Nothobranchius furzeri: one gene and its partner. The protein of the gene in region 1 purifies or fractionates together with the protein of each later gene. This does not show direct contact. Links are inferred from orthologs where the notes say so. Each region holds a gene or a part of one and is shown in the gene's direction. Other genes may lie near its edges. The genes, in order: trpc1 and cav1.

Evidence for each region.
Region 2: the proteins of trpc1 (region 1) and cav1 purify together in Homo sapiens (affinity purification with western blotting; 3 studies listed by BioGRID and IntAct, with this or other methods). This does not show direct contact. The link is inferred for Nothobranchius furzeri from reciprocal best matches to the Homo sapiens genes TRPC1 and CAV1.

What each region holds. Positions count from the first base shown.
Region 1 is NC_091747.1:48,685,790-48,695,051, reverse strand, and holds the start of trpc1 (short transient receptor potential channel 1), read left to right. Parts: upstream 1-3,286; 5' UTR 3,287-3,657; coding exon 3,658-3,823; intron 3,824-4,193; coding exon 4,194-4,348; intron 4,349-4,513; coding exon 4,514-4,615; intron 4,616-4,703; coding exon 4,704-4,906; intron 4,907-6,739; coding exon 6,740-6,871; intron 6,872-6,994; coding exon 6,995-7,190; intron 7,191-7,608; coding exon 7,609-7,945; intron 7,946-9,262. Other genes in the region: chst2b (carbohydrate sulfotransferase 2), read right to left, coding at 1-1,183. UniProt on the Homo sapiens protein: Forms a receptor-activated non-selective calcium permeant cation channel. Forms a heteromeric ion channel with TRPC4 or TRPC5 that has reduced calcium permeability compared to the homomeric TRPC4 or TRPC5 channel.
Region 2 is NC_091744.1:52,440,340-52,449,736, forward strand, and holds the start of cav1 (caveolin-1), read left to right. Parts: upstream 1-3,967; 5' UTR 3,968-4,156; coding exon 4,157-4,189; intron 4,190-4,972; coding exon 4,973-5,140; intron 5,141-9,397. UniProt on the Homo sapiens protein: May act as a scaffolding protein within caveolar membranes. Forms a stable heterooligomeric complex with CAV2 that targets to lipid rafts and drives caveolae formation. Mediates the recruitment of CAVIN proteins (CAVIN1/2/3/4) to the caveolae.

The sequences.
Region 1 (9,262 bases):
TGGTCATGTTGAGAGCAAACAGCTCGATGTCGTGGTTGTTGGTGAGGTTGGCAAAGCGGTAGATGCTCCTCAGCGTCTTCACCGGGTTTTCCACCAGGTCTTCGTACCGCACCGCCATGTACTTCCCCTTCAGCCAGCTGGGCGGGTTTAAAGCAGTCCTTAAGGTCCTGGAGGTGCGGTCGCAGATCACCTCCATGGCTCCGATGGAGTGATAGTCGGAGCCGTCCTTCTTATTGGCTTTGTGGCCCGGATCCACAAAAGGTATCCGTCGAAGTTTAGGGTCCCTGCTGCGAACCACCTGTAAGTTCTCCCTGATCAGGCCGTGTCTAGACTTAATCCTGGAGTTAGCGACGGCCCGCGGGTCTCTAACCAAATGTATCACCTTCAAATCCAAGGATGGATCCTCCATTAAAGGAGCCAGCACGTTTACATCCAGGATACGCACCCCTTTAATGACTATGGTGTTATATTTGAGGCACTCCTCCTCCAGAAGTCTAAGGCTTTGAGGGGGGCACTTTTTACACACCTTATCATCCACCATCCCCACCACCTCCTTCCTGTAGGCTGAGCAGAGGGGATAGGAGCACACCACTTTATTCAGGGTGGCCCCAAACAGTCCCAAGGAGGTGAAATTCTTGCCTCCGGGGCTGTTATAAAGTTGGAAAACAGACAGATCACAGCGATACAAGGAGCTAAGCATGTCTCTGGCTGCCCCTTGTAAAGACACGGCGTCGCCAGGGTAAAGCTTCTGCCAGATGTGCCACATGGGCTCATACAAAAAGAACACTTCTGGATTTTGGTTGAAAAGCTCCCCGAAAAAGGACGAGCCCGACCTCCAGGTGGTCAGGACGTAGATGAGCTGTCTCTTTTTGGCCAGAGAGGGCCTGTAAAGGAAGCGAATGTCAGATCTGCTCTGATAAGTGGTGCTCCTCATCTGATGGTTGCACTGCTGTGGCTCCTTGGTCCATTTATAATTAGCCAAATTGAGCATGGTGAGGACCAGCAGTAGGAAATAGGCCATAAACAACACAATCCTCTTTCTGCGGAGCACTTTCATCACGATCCCAGGCTGTGCTATTATCTTGGTGTGGTTCCTGTAGGTTTTGAGCTTCCTCCCAAAGCCAGCATCCTTCTCCCAAGGCGCTGTCAACTTCAGTGGTTGATGGTATTGTTTGCCTCTCATCTGTGCCCCTGGAGTGTGGCTCCCACCGCTGGACAAAGCTCTACATTGAAAATGCACCAACGCTCTGTAGAGTGTGTGTATGGGGGGGCTGCACTGGGAATAAATTCCCAGTACAGAAGCGGGTGATTAGGTAATATATTCCCCTCCTATTCGGCAGCACGATTTCCAGTTTTCACTGCACTGCGCAATGCTCTTCATGGGAGCGATGGGGGACAGACGCCTTCTTTAAGTTGTCCATAGTGGCGTTGCAGTGATTCAGCGGTGTGGCCCGTGTTCACAACAAAAAAGGGGACGCCTTCATTGTAACAGACGCCCTGCTTCTTCTTCTCGTCCATGCTCAGCAGAAGCATCTCTGCGCAGCAAACATCCTGAGGATCCGTGCAGCTCCGCTCAGACGCAACATGGAGCGCGTTTCCTCCGCAGCGCGCTTAAATCATGTCGGGATGTTAACGAGAAGCGCCTGGGTCCGCAGTCACGGCTTCCCGAGCTACTCCAGGGCTCGTCTAACTAATACAAACCGAGCAGATTCAATCAGAAAGCAAGAGGACATGCGTCCCGCCCTTAGAGAGCGCCTATTGGGCGCGGGGCGTGACGTAGCGCGGCATCGAGCCTCGCTATTGGCTCTGCCGCCCGCCCGTGAAGTGGAAGCTACAGAAATGGTTGAATGCTGTTATTATGAGATGGAGAGCTCGCAGTCTAACCACCTCCACCCATCCGTTTTTGGAACACGAGCGAAACAGAAATCGCTTTGATGAAACATTTTTAATTTAGTTTTTTTGCTTTTCAAAGCCACAATTCACCACGCTGCTGTCTCAAGGATCGACGCCCCGTTTAAATCCAACATCTAGTCCAAGTTCTGTAATTATGTGGATCTCTCCACAAACTGCAGGGTTGAATCAATATTTTAAATTAAATTAATTTTTTCCCTAATTTTTGCCTCTATAGGTTTTCCCAGATCCATAAAAAGGAAAAAGCTAACCGACATCACAGTTAAAGAGAATGTTTAATCTAGAAAACACACAAGTTAATTAGTGATGCGGTGATAATAATGGGAAAATAGTCATTTGGAGGAAAAATTGTAGTCCATGTGCTGAAGAACCCACGTGATTTATTGATATAAAATCATATTCATAAAAAGATTGCCTGTTTTGGATTACTGGCTCAACTGAAAAGAAAAAAACTATACAAATATCTCAAACATTTTATATCATTGCCATGATTTAGTCATACATTTCATTCATCATTGTTATTTGTCAGGTGTTATCTATCAGTGTTATTAATTTAACTCACCAATTGCTTTGACATAATTTGTTGTTTTTACATTTGATTTAAATACAGCTGTGTTACTGGGGGAATAGGGAAGTCTGTTAGTCTAGAGCATTTTTGATGAAAATGAGAACAATGCCAATGCAGCTGCCGTTTCTGCACCAGCTAAGCAATAAGGTGGATTCAGATAATGCAATTTCTAAATCACAAAGGGCATTTGAAAGAAATCTGGATCAGGAGAATATGTTTTGACAAAAATCCCATTGTTATTCAAGGAAAATGCTCAAACAGTTTATTCCAAAATACGTCTTAATTATATAATGTTATACTATTATTGCATGATTTGATACATGTTTTGTAAAAATACAGTTCCACATTCTGTAAAAATAAAAGAACAGCAGATCTCTCCATCCCACAGATGCTCGTTTTGCATTGATCCAATGTTTTTTAATTAAAGCTTTGTGCACACTCCCCTCTACTGGACTGACGCTTCAAAAGCTCACAGAATCGGACTCTTTAGTAAAAAGATCTGTAATAATCTGTATTCAAATTAATTTTCTTCAACATAGTAATACCCGTTAAAACACCAAAAACATCTTATTAAGGAAAAACATAAATTAACAAAGTCGTTTTATGTTGTTTTGTTCTGTCATTCTATTATAAAGCTAAAATGAAGTCTAGTATATTTTGTCTACAGAAGCATGTTTCCTGTTCATCCTAAATAATTAGCTATTTTTGCTTCATGTAGGAGGTTTGGCCCGTTTATGATCAATGAACACAACAGACTGTTACGTAATCATGACTCACCGCTGCCCTGCGCGTGCGAGACACGCCAGCGCGCGCGTGGAGGTGGGCACATGCGCAGTAGCATCCTTGGCCATCAGCATCAGGACCACTAAACGTCTACGGAGAGAAGATGGTGCATGTAAACACGGCGAAGGAAGTGACAGCGTCACCCTATCGGACCGTGGCCGCGGTTGTCGTCGACTAACGCGTTGTTTGAAGTCGAAAAAACGAGCATTAAAATATTTTTTTGCTAGAAAAACAGCGTGCGGGGACATGCGACGGTGTTAGCAAAGCTTATCGATTTAGCCTCAATGACGACGGTTGGAAAGCTCCGCGGCGCTCCGTCAGGCTTCAGAAGGATTCCTCCGCTGTCAGCTCACATGACGGGCTTCTTTGTGTGATGGTCGCCGCTTTCTAGTGGGATGCACATCAGTGCTTGGCCGTACTCGCTCTCCGTCGTCATGGCAGCTCTGTACCAGGGTACGGACGCCTCCTCTCCGGACAAATTCCTGGCCCTGAAAGACGTGAGGGAAGTTAAGGAGGAAACGACGCTGGATGAGAAGCTCTTCCTCCTGGCATGCGAGAAGGGTTTGTTAACATTTCTTCACATTTTAATATTGTTATTTTAATTCAGTTTAACGTAAAGCATAATTTTGACCTTATTTGTACACGTGTCTCATTTTTTAGGCGAGTTTTTCATTGCTGAAGCTCAGAATGCTTCACAGGGGAAGGATGCTTTAAGCGTAAAGCCAGTCCCTGTTACTGTGGCCATATAAAGTCTGTGTAAACACATGTGCGCAGCTGAGACTGTCCTTTGAGGGAGATGTTATTGTTACACAAGATTAAAGGGGCAGCTGGAGCCAAGCATGCTTTGTTACTACCTCCAGTGTGAGAGTGAGTCCTGGTGTTTGAGTGTAGAAGAAGGAGCTAAATTCACCACGAATGTGCATTTCCCCAGGTGACTACTACATGGTGAAGAAGCTGCTTGAGGAGAACCGACACGGCGAGCTCAACGTCAACTGCGTGGATGTTCTGGGAAGAGATGCGGTGACCATCGCCATCGAGAACGAGAATCTAGACATCCTGCAGCTTCTTCTTGAGTATGGTTGCCAGGTAACCAACACACAGGCATCACTTTAAGCCTTGCATTATAAGTATGATCTTTTCACATATTAGGTGTGTGTGTGTGTGTGTGTGTGTGTGTGTGTGTGTGTGTGTGTGTGTGTGTGTGTGTGTGTGTGTGTGTGTGTGTGTGTGTGTGTGTGTGTGTGTGAGAAGACAACAGATGCCTTGTTGGTAGCCATAGACTCAGAGGTGGTGGGAGCTGTGGACATCCTTCTCAACCACAGACCGAGGCGATCCTCAAAGCCGTCTATCGCAGTGAGTCTCCTCTTGTGACCTCTCTAAAACAACCGAATAATGTTTTTATTTTTGAACAATATTTTAGATATGTTTTATTTTGTCTTAGAAACTAATGCAGCGGATTCAGAACCCAGAGTATTCCACCACCATGGACGTGGCTCCAGTCATCCTGGCAGCACACAGGAACAACTACGAGATCCTGACGATGCTGCTGAAGCAGGACATCTCGCTTCCCCGGCCACATGCAGTTGGCTGTGAATGCATGCTATGCAATGCTAAAAACAAGAAGGACAGCTTAAGACACTCCAGGTACAGGCCCAAAGGATCCTACAGAAACAATATGCCAGAGATCATTGTTTCAGTGAGAGCTAGCAAGTGTTTTTGTTGCATCTACAAAGAAATTATTTATGCAAAAGCCTTTTAGAGATGCTTTTAGCTGTTATTACAGCATAATCCGTGTTCCACAGAGAATAGCTAATGGACTTTATAATCGTTCTTTAGTTATCTAGCATCAGCGAGCCAGTTTTATTGATTTTTTTTTTTTACATCGCCGTTTATTTTACGTTCAAATGTAAAATTCATTCAGAGTTTTTATACAAACAAAACAGGAAAACAGTGTTATCTTCAGACAAACATAGACACTTATTCCATCTTGGGTTTGCAGATGAGAATTTTCTGATCTCTTCTCTTCCACTGGGCTGTTTTCTTCTTCCACCCACACAAAGCACAACGATCCTTCCACAGTCTCTGCAAAGCACAGATTATGAAGCAAACACAAATAAATCAGCCAGAAAATGGATTGTTATGCCTATTTAATCCGCTCTGTTGCGTTTACTTCTACAGTAAGTGAATGCAATCCTGTGCATTAAGCTAAAAGCAAGTTATTGAAATATTATATAACCTCAAAGTCGTCACATGACGTGAATTAAACAGCAGGCTGTTTTTGATATGTAAATAAAAGCTAAAAATTCTATTTTTAAGTTATTAAGTGCAGAAGGAGCTCAGTGACACATCTATAACTTTTTATATTTATGCTGGAAAGCTTGATTTGTGACACCTTTGTCTTTAATGTACCAGAAAAGTGTTCTGTTGCATTCAAACCAGGCAGCTTACTTGGAATATTCTGCCTTATTTTACAGCTGTGAAATGAAGACATTCGTTAATGGTCCACAGCCTTTTATGGATCAGGAATATTTAAGATAATCATGCAAAGAACAAACAAAATTCAGCTCATAACAAAAAAGTTTCATAATTAAAAAGTTATTCAAGGTGTCACATGGAACACGAGTACCAAAGCAACATCTAGTGTGCGGAGGTTTGCAGCCGATATGTGAAATGTTTTATGTGGGTCCATCTGGTGTAGGCTTCACCTAAACTCACTCTGGTTTTAGATCTTTTATGGTCGCTCCTCTTCTGAGAAGAATAACGACATCTTCTGGGCTCACCCGGGAGGAGGGGGGTCTTTACCCGAGACAAAAATAGCACAAGGTGACCAGTAAACAGTGTCAGGTGGTCTGTATGTCTCACAGATACACAACTCTGCACCAAAATGGTGGTGATGTTGAACATTCTGCTCAATTTTCTGGCTTTTAGTCAGACTCAGACTTGTTCTGTGTGCACACAAAGCGGTACAAGTGATAATGCTGCTGGAATTCATGATTTTATCCTTCTCAGCAGCAGCACTGCAGGTGCTCTCCATGTCCAAAATGTGCGTAAGCCAGGTCCTCAGTCAACTTAAAGTTGCGCACATTTTTCCGCTAAGTTTTCTGTCATAAATCCCAAAGTTTGTGTGGAAAGTTGCTTACGCAGTTTTCCGAACCCGTTTTGTGCGTAAGCAAGCTTGATAAATGAGGCCCCGGGTGTTTTCACGAGATCTTGTGGGTCATTCAGAATGAAGGCAGTAAAAAGTGCTGCCACCTAGCAGTCGGAGATCTAATTGCACCACACAAAAGACAAACAGTAAATATTTACACGTCAATTCTCAACAAAAAATAATTTATACTGGTTTTAAATATTGATTCTATATCGTACCCCAAAGTATCGAGTGTATCTATTTTCATTCATCCCTATTACCCTTTATATACATAAATATATGGTATACTGTTATTTCTACCATTTTAACCAACTTCTGTTTATTTTCAGGTTCCGCCTGGACATCTACCGCTGCTTGTCGAGTCCTTCCCTCATCATGCTGACCGAGGAGGATCCTATTCTCAGAGCGTTTGAGCTCAGTGCAGACCTAAAGGAGCTCAGCCTGGTGGAGGTGGAGTTCAGGTGAATCTCTGAGCATCCAGTGGAACAATCCCACGGACATGTATACAGGAAGTTAATGCAGAGATATCAGCGAAAGGCAAAAGCCTTTACGGACTCTGACGGCGTCTAATTTATTCTCTGCAGGAACGACTATGACGAGCTGGCCAAGCAGTGCAAGATGTTTGCCAAGGATCTGCTGGCTCAGGCTCGGAACTCCCGGGAGCTGGAGGTGATCCTTAATCACACCTCTAGCGAGGATCATGTTGATAAGAGAGGCCTGCTGGAGGAGCGCATGAACCTTAGCCGGCTTAAACTGGCCATCAAGTACAACCAGAAAGAGGTCAGTTAGTGAAAGTCTGCAAATTGTAATAAATGTCAGCAGATAAAAGGATCTCGGCTTTCATTTAGTGTATACCTAAAATCTGATGGAGGTCAAAATAAAAGATTAATGATCTGCTATGTAGTGTGCTTGCTGTGAGATTTAACAGCTCCTGTAGAACATTATGTGCTTGTTTTTGGGAAATCAGCTCAATGTACTTACTTCCAGCGACAAACTGAAGCTTTAAATACAACGAAGCTGGATCATTTACAGCCGGGGTGGCTGGAACAGGATGGCTTGTAGAATATAGTTTCCAGCAGGAGGAACGATATCAGCTTCACATATCAGCATGCACATTTATGCAAAAATCAGTAAAAATAAACAACTAAAAAATGTTCTTTTTGAGTAAAAGTTCTCCTCTGTTGTTTTCTCCTGCCAGTTTGTGGCCCAGTCCAACTGTCAGCAGTTCCTCAACACCGTCTGGTTTGGAGAAATGGCCAGCTACCGGCGCAAACACACCTGCCTGAAGATGGGCACGGTTTCCAGCGTGGCGCTGCTCTGGCCGCTGCTCTCCGTCTGCTACCTTCTGGTGCCGCGCTCTCGAGTCGGCCAGATCATCCACACACCGTTCGTCAAGTTCATCATCCACAGCGCCTCCTACATGACCTTCCTGCTGCTGCTCAACCTTTACTGTTTGGTGTACAACGAGCAAAAGAAAAACCTGATGGGCCCGGCGCTGGAGATGATCGACTACCTCCTGATCCTCTGGATCCTAGGTCAGCCTCTTATGCCATAAGGATCTGATTTCTATTGCTGAATACTTGTTGCTCTTTTAGAAGTATAAACAGGAGAAGAATCCAGCCCTACAGACCATAACATAATTGAAAGTCCTGCACGGTGCAGCAAAAATGAGAGATTCCTGTTAAGGTCTGCCCAAAGTCCATTATCTGTAATTCTATCTGGAGTCTGAGAAAAATGGCTGTTTTTATATTATGTGGGAAAAAACTCTTACTTGACTGAATTTCATCTGTCTTCTTTCTCCTCTGGGGCCCGTCTAATTGCTGGTATTGCATGATTATCAACAGCAGCTCTTTTCTTATGGCGATGACGTAGCCGTTAGAAATGGGCCGCCTCTCTCTGGAGAGACACCTCCCTACCTTCCCCGTCTGCCAAGAAACCATTATCATCCACTTTAGGCCTGTTAATGGCTCTGGCTGCTTGCTGGGATGTTTGGGAGTGGTTGTAAAAAGCAACCACTTCTTTGTTTCACCGTCCTGATGATAATCCATCACATCAAAACAGCCTGACAGTTAATACCAGCATGTAGGAGCTATTAACTTGTGTTATTAAATGCTGTGATAAGAGGCTTAGTGCTGTTCAGTTAATTCCAGAAAGGTGGAAAGAGGTCATTGTGACATGCTGGAACTTAAAAATTCCCTAGAAAAGTTGTTTTTATTATTTGTTTTTCCCAAAAGATGTGACGTTTGCTTTCCTGCTGCTTCAACAAACCATCCAGGTGGAGTTTAAAGGGAAAAGCGTTGTAATAACTCCAGCATCCTCGTGCAATCAGGATCCACCCCGTGTGGGTCGGATGTGCACTGCCAACAATCACTAGTCGAAGCAGCTTTTTATTTTTTATTTTGTTCACTATTGTTCTCTTGTTCTGTTCCTTTCCTCTCATCTTTCACTTCACTAACTAAGTAAGATGCCTCGCATTAATGGGGAAATCAGACGCTGAGAGACTGTGTGTGTGCGTGGGTGCATGTGTGCGTGCGTGGGTGCGTGCGTGCGTGCGTGTGTGTGTGTGTGTGTGTGTGTGTGTGTGTGTGTGTGTGTGTGTGTGTGTGTGTGTGTGTGTGTGTGATTTGATATCTGTGTCGTATCACAAACATGAGTGGGTTGAGGAGCAGTTGATGACTTTTCTCTTCCAGAGATTGTATCTTCTTTGTGGATTTCCCGCTAAAACCACAGAAATGATGAATTTCTGAATCAGAGCTTCCACATATTTTCCTCATCTTCACATGGATTCTGTTTCTACACTAAAAGACGCTTTCACTCATCGTTATTAAATTCCACGCACCTCCCTAATCTCA
Region 2 (9,397 bases), on another chromosome or scaffold:
GTTCAATGAGAAACTGTAAACTTTTTATTTATTTCATTTCCATGCAGGCTGAATGTCTCTTACACCGATCTTCTGCGTGAGCTTCTGATGGAAATAGGGTGGTGCAACACTCGGGTTAGAAAAGCCTGACAGATCTATGTCACACTGTCACTCAGCATTCATGGACTGACTCATCGTGACTCGCGACGGGGCGAGCTGTTGTTGGTTTAGCGAACATGAAACAACAAAGGATGTCTTGGCTAGTAGAAGCTAACCGATTTAGCAACTCCACCACACAGCAGAACTCCTCTAGGCTTGTTTTATTTGTGGAGATAAAACATCAACATTGCAGAGCAAACAGTGTCAATGGAAGAGTTGTGTTGCTGTTAGCCAATCAGAGGAGAGATGTCCAAATAACAGGACAAACAAGTTAAGTGGGTCTTTATCATTACTATCTCATCTAAACAGGTGTTTGTGCTTACCTCTGCCTTCAGTTTCATTGTTTTCTTTACAACTTCATCTGGGTTTTATGAATATTAGGGAGTGGTTTTTCTTTTCGAAATAACGTAACTTCTGGTCCTTAGCTGTGAGAAACGTTTGTTTCTACATGATGAAAATAAAGACGTTTTCCGCTCCAGCTGATTCTTCTGTGTGTGTGTTTCTGTCACCAGAGATTAGTGCAGCTGACATGCAGCTTAGAGTCAGAGAGGTCTCATAAATCCTGTTTCTGAGGCTGCATAACAGACTCACTATACAGCGATGAGCTGTGGGCTGACGGACGTCACCTGAGGCTCCACTTTTAGACCTGCAGGTCTGCACAGAGTTTGAGCTGCAGAGACTCTTTCCTCGTGGCCTGAATACTTCACTTGCCACTCCACCTTTCGGAAGAACACAGACCCCAACAAAGTTCTCGCCTCACCAAGGCGAGACAGGTGTGTGTTGAAGTCCACAAGCTGAAGGAAACATTCTCAATCAGCCTAGTCAGAAACTGCATACGACGTCACCATCTCTAGTTAGACAGTCTGACTGAACTTCTGCGCTGAATCAGTTCACTCTGAAGCTTTCAGATGATCTGGTTTGAAGAGCTTGATGCCTCTGGAAAACTCAGCCCGGAGGAAGCTTGTAGAGGTTTGAACATCAGCCAACACCCACCTGGGGTGAGACCTGGAGATAGATCATGAGAATGGTGTGGGACCAGCTGGAGAGAGGATCCCAGGACAGAGATGCCTGGAGATCCTTTGTTGGCAGCCCATACCCCAGGAGGGATAGCAGGTTGTAGGTAAGTAAGTGACCTTTGACCTTCACCTGAATACTGGTGTGAAGCGATGATGTGAGAAGAAAATCTCACTCATGTTTTAAGGCTTGCTCCCTGTGGTCATAAACCCTGAGATGCTGCATCAGTGATTTATGACTGAAGGTAACGTTGGATCATCTGCTGAGGTCAGGGTGTCCCAAAGCAGATCCTAAAATCAGAAAGAAACATTTAAAACATTTCACTTAAAACATTTTATTTATTTTTAAATCTAACTAGTTTTCTAAGGGGCGGAGCCTCTGATCACCCAGGAATGTTTATAGCTCAGGTCTCAGTTTCAACCTCACCCATCCATCATCCTCAACCATTCACCACATCATCCCTTCATCTTCACCCCTCTCATTCATTCATTCATTCATCCCTGTCAGCTTTCAACTGTTTCCATCTTCTACCATGTCTCAGGAATAATCTAGCACCCGAGTCAGAATTCCCACACAGAGTGCCTCCTCCCTGGCCTCCAGCAGCAAGTGTCCTCACCCCTCGCTTATCCTGAACCATAAACCTGTTCAAGTCACATTTCTGTCGCGCGGTTCAGCTACAGAACCTCTCTGGCTGCTGCCTTCAGTGCTCGTCTCTCCTGATGACTGCGTTGGAACCTGTAGAGAGCAGGATTCTGACCAGACGTCTGTCCCTGGACAACGACAGCAGCAGAGATCGTCATGGTTGTGCTAAAGTGAGCTACTGACTGCGATCACATGACTACCTCAGCTGTGTGCATACCGGTTAGAGTCACAGGCAATTTAGCACAAATGACCTTCAGCAAAGAGCTATTCCTCACAATCACAGAGGTTTACCTTTACAACCTGAGCAGAATCAGCTGAATCAGAACCGGTTCTGTCAGTGTTCTGAGTGACACCAGCGTGCCTTGTCATTACGGTAACTGGTTTCCCACAGATGATGCCTCGGGAGGATTCACATGCAAACACTTTGCTGCTTGTCTTCAGCTCTTGGTGTTGTTGTCTCAGTGTGAAACTGTTCCAGGCTGCAGCAGGATAACATCTTTATGTGAAACAGGTGCACATCTGCTCTGTTTTGATCTGCGCTCAAGGCCGCACCTTTGGAAGTAGGTGGGGGTTATTTATTTATGCAACTGTCCAGAGGAGACATCACAGAGGGGTTCTTCACAATAAAAGAGAAAAGGATCCTGGTGGAAATGAAGAACTTGAGCTTTCTGCAGAAGATTTCCAACAACAAAACAATCCATCCTCAACGGCCAAGCGGTGGTACTGTAACGTTCTAGATCAGCTGGGCTGCGTGGACAGGCTGCACCTGGGAAGGTGTGGATTTAAAGCACACCTAAATCAGATCTATAACTGTAGCTACTTTGTTTGTTCTGGTTTGTTTAGGTGTTGTAACATAACTTTGTTGTTAAATACAACTAGATCTGCATTCATCTGGGGCCTAAAGAGGAAAGTCAAAACATAAAACGGGGGCTTCTCCGGGATATTTCTGACCAACAGTGAATACTAAACTTGATTGGTTTTGTGGGAAAATCTGGTTAGTTTTAGGTTTACAACATGCAGGGAGAACCCCAACATCAACAACCTCAGATCATTATACCAACAAAGATGTTAGGTAGGGATTCTCCTCGGCGTGCTTTTATCATGAAAGGCTACAATTACATGTAACTCTACGAATAAAAATGTGATTATTATAAAGTAGTTTTATTTATTTATCATGGGCAGCAGCAGCTCAGGAGGGAGAGTGGATTGCTGCTGGTAGTCATAGGGGCCGGTGGCGCCTGTGCTCGGCAACCTTGCCTCCATCAGTCCACCTCAGGACAGCTGTGGCTACAGTGTAGCTCATCATCACCAATGGGTGAATATGTGTGTGTGTGTGGGGGGGGGGGGGGTTGGGCTAAACGACTGATTGTGTTATAAAGCACCTTGGGGGGTTTCAGGAGTCTAGAAGGCTGGAGAGAAGATCCCAGCACAAATGCAGGCAATTTACCATCATGACTATTTTTATTATTATGAACTGAATGAGGCAAAACATGTATTGTACATTTTTGTGTTACTGTATTTAAAACATTAAGTGAAACATTTTAAATGAACCCAATTATAAAGCAACACACACACACACACATTAAATGAAAAATACATTTTTGGATGAATATAGACAACAAGAAATTGATGAAAATGACTGAAATCTAACTCAATAATCAGCCAACTTACAATATCAGACCTGTGTAAAAACAAAGCAGCCTACCAAAATAAGAGCGGGTGAAGAACGCTCCTAAGGTCTCAGAATTGCTTTGGTGATGGGATTCTATGAGACGGTTTGACTATGGATCATATCTGAATGTGCCGAGAACCACTTCAGATATAACATAGATTAACATGGAGAGACCTCTTCACATTTCTGTGGACCGCAGTCTAAATGCAAACGTTAGCAAATAACTTTGTTTAAAACCATCTAAATCCTGGATAGCTTTGGTTTTTATTGTGAATTTGTATTTTTTACAATATGATCGGTGTATGATTTTACAAACGATCCATAGGTGTTCTCCATCTGGCTCTTTCTCCCTGCGAGCTGCAGGTATCCACACCTTGTCATTCCCTATTAACGCCCACATTTCACCCAACAAATAAGCCATGCTATCCTCTGCCTTGATCCCCAAACGCAGTTGCTCTGTGCCAATTTATTTCAGAAGCCCTTCAGTCCGTGTGAGAGTCTCCTCCAGCGCGGACACGCTGCAGCGCTTGTGAATACAGGAGTCCCCTGAAAAGCGGGTTTCCCTTCGGGCATGCTGGAGGCAGGTCCCTGACAGAAAGCGCGGAGCTGGGAGTGTGCCTCCACGCCTCCCACTCGGTTTCCTCTCCTGTCGCATCTGGTTGAACGAGGATTCCTCCAGTCGCGGACAGAATGACAGGAGAACTGAAGGACGAAACAGAAGAGGTACAGTATGACTCTCAGCTGTAGTTTGTCTCAGAGTTTTGAGCTTTGATATTTTTTCATTAAGGAGGTAATACATCTCTGTAGGATTTATTGGACCCACGAGGGGGAATTTCATGTTTCTATCCCTCACACCTGGAGCTTGTCGCCTCTCCAGGACTTTGGAGTTTTCTTTAAGAACGTTTGCGTGATGCGAACACTCTTAAGACCAGTCTATTTGTCAGCAAGAACCCCTTTTTATTTATATTACCCATAACGTTGGCGAAAGTGAACGAAAACACATATATTTGCGTAAAAAACGAGAAAGTGGCAGATTGACGCACTTTTACGCATTCGGGTTTAATGTAGTAAACACGGAAAACCTGCATGTTTTGGCACCATTTATTAATAATCACGTGTCGCACAGGTCCTATCGAGAGGAGAGGACTCGTTGCAGTTTATGACATGAATTAATTTAAAGATATTTGGTTTAATAGATTTTTGGGGATGCGTACTTTTACGCATTCACCAAAAGAGAGGTTTCCGTGCGCCCAGGTGCATTCCAGCCCGCTGTGAGGTGGGTCAGGATGTGGAGCAGCAGCCTGCGTGGTGAGGACCCCTTGCGGCTGAACGCAGGGGTGTGGTGCTTCACTTTGCGTTCATTTAAACCCATCCCAGTTTGTGTGGCTGGCTGCTCCAGTCCTTCGTTCCCTCTCAGCGCGCTGCGCACCCTTCTTCCTCCTCCTCACGCTTCTCTTTTTCTGTCTTTCTTTCCCTCCTCCTCCTCCTCTACGTGAATCCTTACAGGAGTTTCCGCATTCACCCTTCATCAGAAAACAAGGAAACATTTACAAACCGAACAACAAAGACATGGACAACGACAGTATGAACGAAAAGGCCATGGAGGATGTCCACACCAAGGAGATAGACCTGGTCAACCGGGACCCCAAGCACATAAACGACAACGTCGTCAAGGTGAGTCAGAGCTTTAAGTTTGACGTTTGAACTAAAAGGTGCAGCTGGAGTGATGCTTTATTGTATAACTGCTGCAAACGAAGTGTTGAGAGAAAATCAAGGTGATAGTTTTACGTTTGTCTAAGAACGTTGCCAAACTTCTGGCAGCTGTTGAAGTGCGCGTCTCGGAGACGCGCTCCGGCTGCGCGCTGATCTCCAGCCCCTCCGTGTCTTTCCCCTATTAGGAAGAAGCTTTGCAAACGCGGTGAAGTTGAAAGAAGTTATCATAATCAGCTCTGAAACGTGACAATCCCGCTCTAAAGAGGAAACATCACGAATTTCCTGTTGTTGCTGCTGCGCGCGTTGATTCCCACAGTCGCTGTTTGCCTTTTTGTGATGAAAGCAAATTCTTTCCGTAAGGGAGAAGGCTGCTCGCACAAAGGCTGGAAGTGTGTTTAGTTTGAGGAGGTGAGGAGAGGAGAGGGAGCAGCGAGGCACCTGCTTGAGTCTACCCTTGTGAAAACATTGAAACACCCTGCTAATCTGATGGGATCCCTCACCACTCCCTCCTCCTACATTTTCTCCCATTCTACTCCCCCCTCCTCCCTGCATGCCAGCACCTGAGCCAAGGGAGCAGAGATGCTTCTTTATTAGCATCTGACAGTTTTTGGAGAGGGAACTGACTGAGGATTTTCTTGGGATGAAAAATTGGCTGAGATGCTGCAGTTCAAAGTAAAAGGAACCAACTATGATTAAAGTCCACTTGAAGATCTCGCTGCTTTCACGGTAATCTTTTTAAGAGACGTTCCAAAAACACATAAAAGGATGCATGTTACCCACGTGACCTTCTAGAAGCTGCTGTTGGATAAAAAGGGGAAAACTGCTCTCCAGCGTCTCTGCTCCTGTCTGCACTCATGCTGTCTCTCCCTCCTCCCCAGCTCTCCAATGTGAAAGTGAGTCAGACTCTCCCTCCAGTCCCCCCCCCACACACACACACGCATGCACGCACACTCACACTCACACACTCACACTCGCACACACACACACACACACACACACACACACACACACTCACACAACCACCACCCACACCCACACACACACACACACACTCACACTCGCACACACACACACACTCACATTCGCACACACACACACACACACACACACACACTTGCACACTCACACACACACTCACACTTGCACACACACACACACACACATTCAAGACAGGAGGCGAAACAATCTGATATCACATGACGATAACAGGAAAAATGACAAAACGTTCTCTAGTTTCGTCATGGTGGGGGGGGGGGGGGGGTCCTGCCTTTTTAGCGTTACAAAAGTATTTTCAGAGGTGAGTCAGGACCGGGGTGCTCCAGTGTTTTATTTCATTGTTGTCATGGCTGCAGTTTGGCTGCTAAAGTTAAAACAGATGTTGGCATCTGGTCTGCAACTGTTGCTGATGGTGCCAGCAAGAGAGGTTCCTGAAGGTCTCAGGGTAAGGTTCTAGATGACTCTCAGTGGGTTGCATGGCCTAGCGTTAACACTCTGAGACGGTCGTGGCAACTTTCATCAAAGACAGATTTGTGGCAGATCAGATAAAACGCAGAATCTGGAAGTCAGCATAACACAAGTGTGCATTTTAACCTGCTTGTCTCTTTAAAAATACATTCATGCAAACAACATTTCAATAAAATCTTTAAAGTTCTTTTCATCCTAAATTAGAAGATCTGTAACATTTCATAATAATAATAATAACAATATTAATGGTCCAGAACAATTGTGTAACATGAGAAGGACCCAGTGTGGAGTCATGCTCTGAACCATGAAAACGCTCTAGTGATTAGAATCATTTTAAAATGACACGTTAGCTCTGAGGTCATCGTGACCTCACTGTTAGCTCGTGAGTTTAGCCAGATTCCCCCAAACTGAGGCTGTTCACACAGCTACCTACAGTAAGTGAGACAACAGTTGTTCATAACTTTTCCACAGAAACACACATCTAAGGATCTGAACTATCATTGTAAGAAGCTCCGCCTCCGACATCCCCAGTGTGTACCTGTGCTGTAGCCACCAGGGCTCTCCAAGGGTGAGTGGAACAGAGCTGAGGAGCTTCTGTCTGCCTCGTCCCAGATTCCAGCTCCGAAACGCGGCTTCACAGAGAGCTGCGGCAGCTCTGAGGTCCTGTGAGGTCATGAATCAGCTCGGCTAAATAGAGGAGTGTGTTCAGTGTGCTGCGGTGGAAACGCACAAGTGGGGAATCCCTTCCACCACACACACACACACACACACACACACACACACACACACACACACACACACACACACACACACACACACACACACACACACACACACACACACACACACACAGTATCTGAGCCTTCCTTCAGCAGCAGCTGGCCTCAATCACCTCTGGCCACATCAAACACTTCTATGACTCGCTCAGACTGCAGAACAGAGAGGGTGTTTTCCTCCTGTGGAGACACTCGGTCTTTTTATAGCTGTGTGTGTGTGTGTGTGTGTGTGTGTGTGTGTGTGTGTGTGTGTGTGTGTGTGTGTGTGTGTGTGTGTGTGTGTGTGTGTGTATGTGTGTGTGTGTGTGTGTGTGTGTGTCCCTCACGATCCCGTGAGTAGAGAAAACTTTTCAGAAGGAGCAGGACCAGAGTCGAGAAGGTTGGTGAGTCATTTACATCTCAGTGAGAGACCAGCTAATGTCTCAGAGGGAAAGTTCACAAGTTCTGAAGTTTATTTCTGTAGAAAAGTTGTGAACAAGAATAACCTGATGTCGCTGATCAGAGCTCAGGGTGTGAATAAGGACCAGAACACAAAACCTTTGACTGCAGCTGAGAACAACCCATCAGAACCAACATCTAGTGAACAGCACAGCTCAACCATCAAATGTTCAAAGCATTTTATGTTAATGTGTGACTTACAAGTGATAATGAAGCAGCAGGTAGCCCTTGAAGCTAACAACGAACACTAATCGGTCAATCCTAGGTGGCAGTGATGCAGCACAGTGAGTCATAGAGGGAAGGGAACAAGGAGAGGACAGTAGAGGGGGGGGGGTGCAGGGGGCGCGGGGAGGGTGCTGGTTTAGAAGATGCTCTCTGAAGAGCAGGGTCTTCAGGACGTTCTTGAAAGTCGACAAGGACGGCCCTGTCCGGGTAGCGCTTGGTAGGTCATTCCACATCTGTGTGTTGAACAGTAGCTGCTTAGGGCGTTCGAATAAGTGAAACAAGTCTGTCTGAGTCAAAACTCGAACGTAGGAAGAACAGAAACGAGTACAAACCTGATTGTGTTGAATGTGTTTGAGCAGACTTGTGTTTCATGGTTACACTAGTGACATTTTAACAAACACTGGACTTGTGTCGTCGTCCTCTGACTCTGACGGCTGAAGGGCCAGCACACCCGGCCCCTTCACGGACCCACGTTGTCTAGTCGAGTGTAGCGGCCTGAAGACAGAGCTCTGGAAATAGCTCTCAGCCTTATTTACCCAACAATACAACTGCCATGCCAACCGGTCACATGCTGACCATTGGACCCCTTTGTTTCACATCAAACTGGACTTTTGAATCAGCTCCACTCAGAACCAGGCTGGTTCGGATGGATCTACTTTCTCTGGTTTTCTTTGATCCAGAAACTTGTTTTCTGAGCTGAAACGTTTAACTTTGTAACTCACAAACGAGACGGTTCCTCTCAAGAGGCTCATCCTTCTAAAAGATAAGGAAATAAATTATTAAATAAAAACGCTGCATCTGATGAAACATATGCGCTGGTTTTGCCCTAACGGTGTGACCCTGAAGGTTAAAAAGCTAAAGCGTCTCCACCCCCTCTCTGCGGCGGTGTGTGTACCTCTCTGAAGAAGGCCTCTCATTTAGGCTCAATCAGAGTTGTGGAAACTGGCTCAGAGTTGGTCCACTTTAGGATTTGTAGCGGTGGAAAAACTAAATGGATGACGGAGCGGTTTTGTGGCTGCGCTGCTGAGAGGGAGGCTCTATGCTGCTGCTGGTCTAAAACACATTCAGAGGCACTGAAACCCGAGGAGCTGATAGTTCTCAGACGTGTTTATGTTAGAACTCCAGGAAATGACACAAAGTTTGTTTTAATTATTTGCCCTTTGATGGAACACCAGTCCATAATTAAAAAGAAGGTGATAAAAATATTTCCTGAAATTTCGATACATTTCTGTATATTTTAGGGGAAACAAAGTTTTGCTTTTTTGCTTTTTTTTTTAGATACAGATTGTAATTTTTATTGTATGTGAGCACCTTG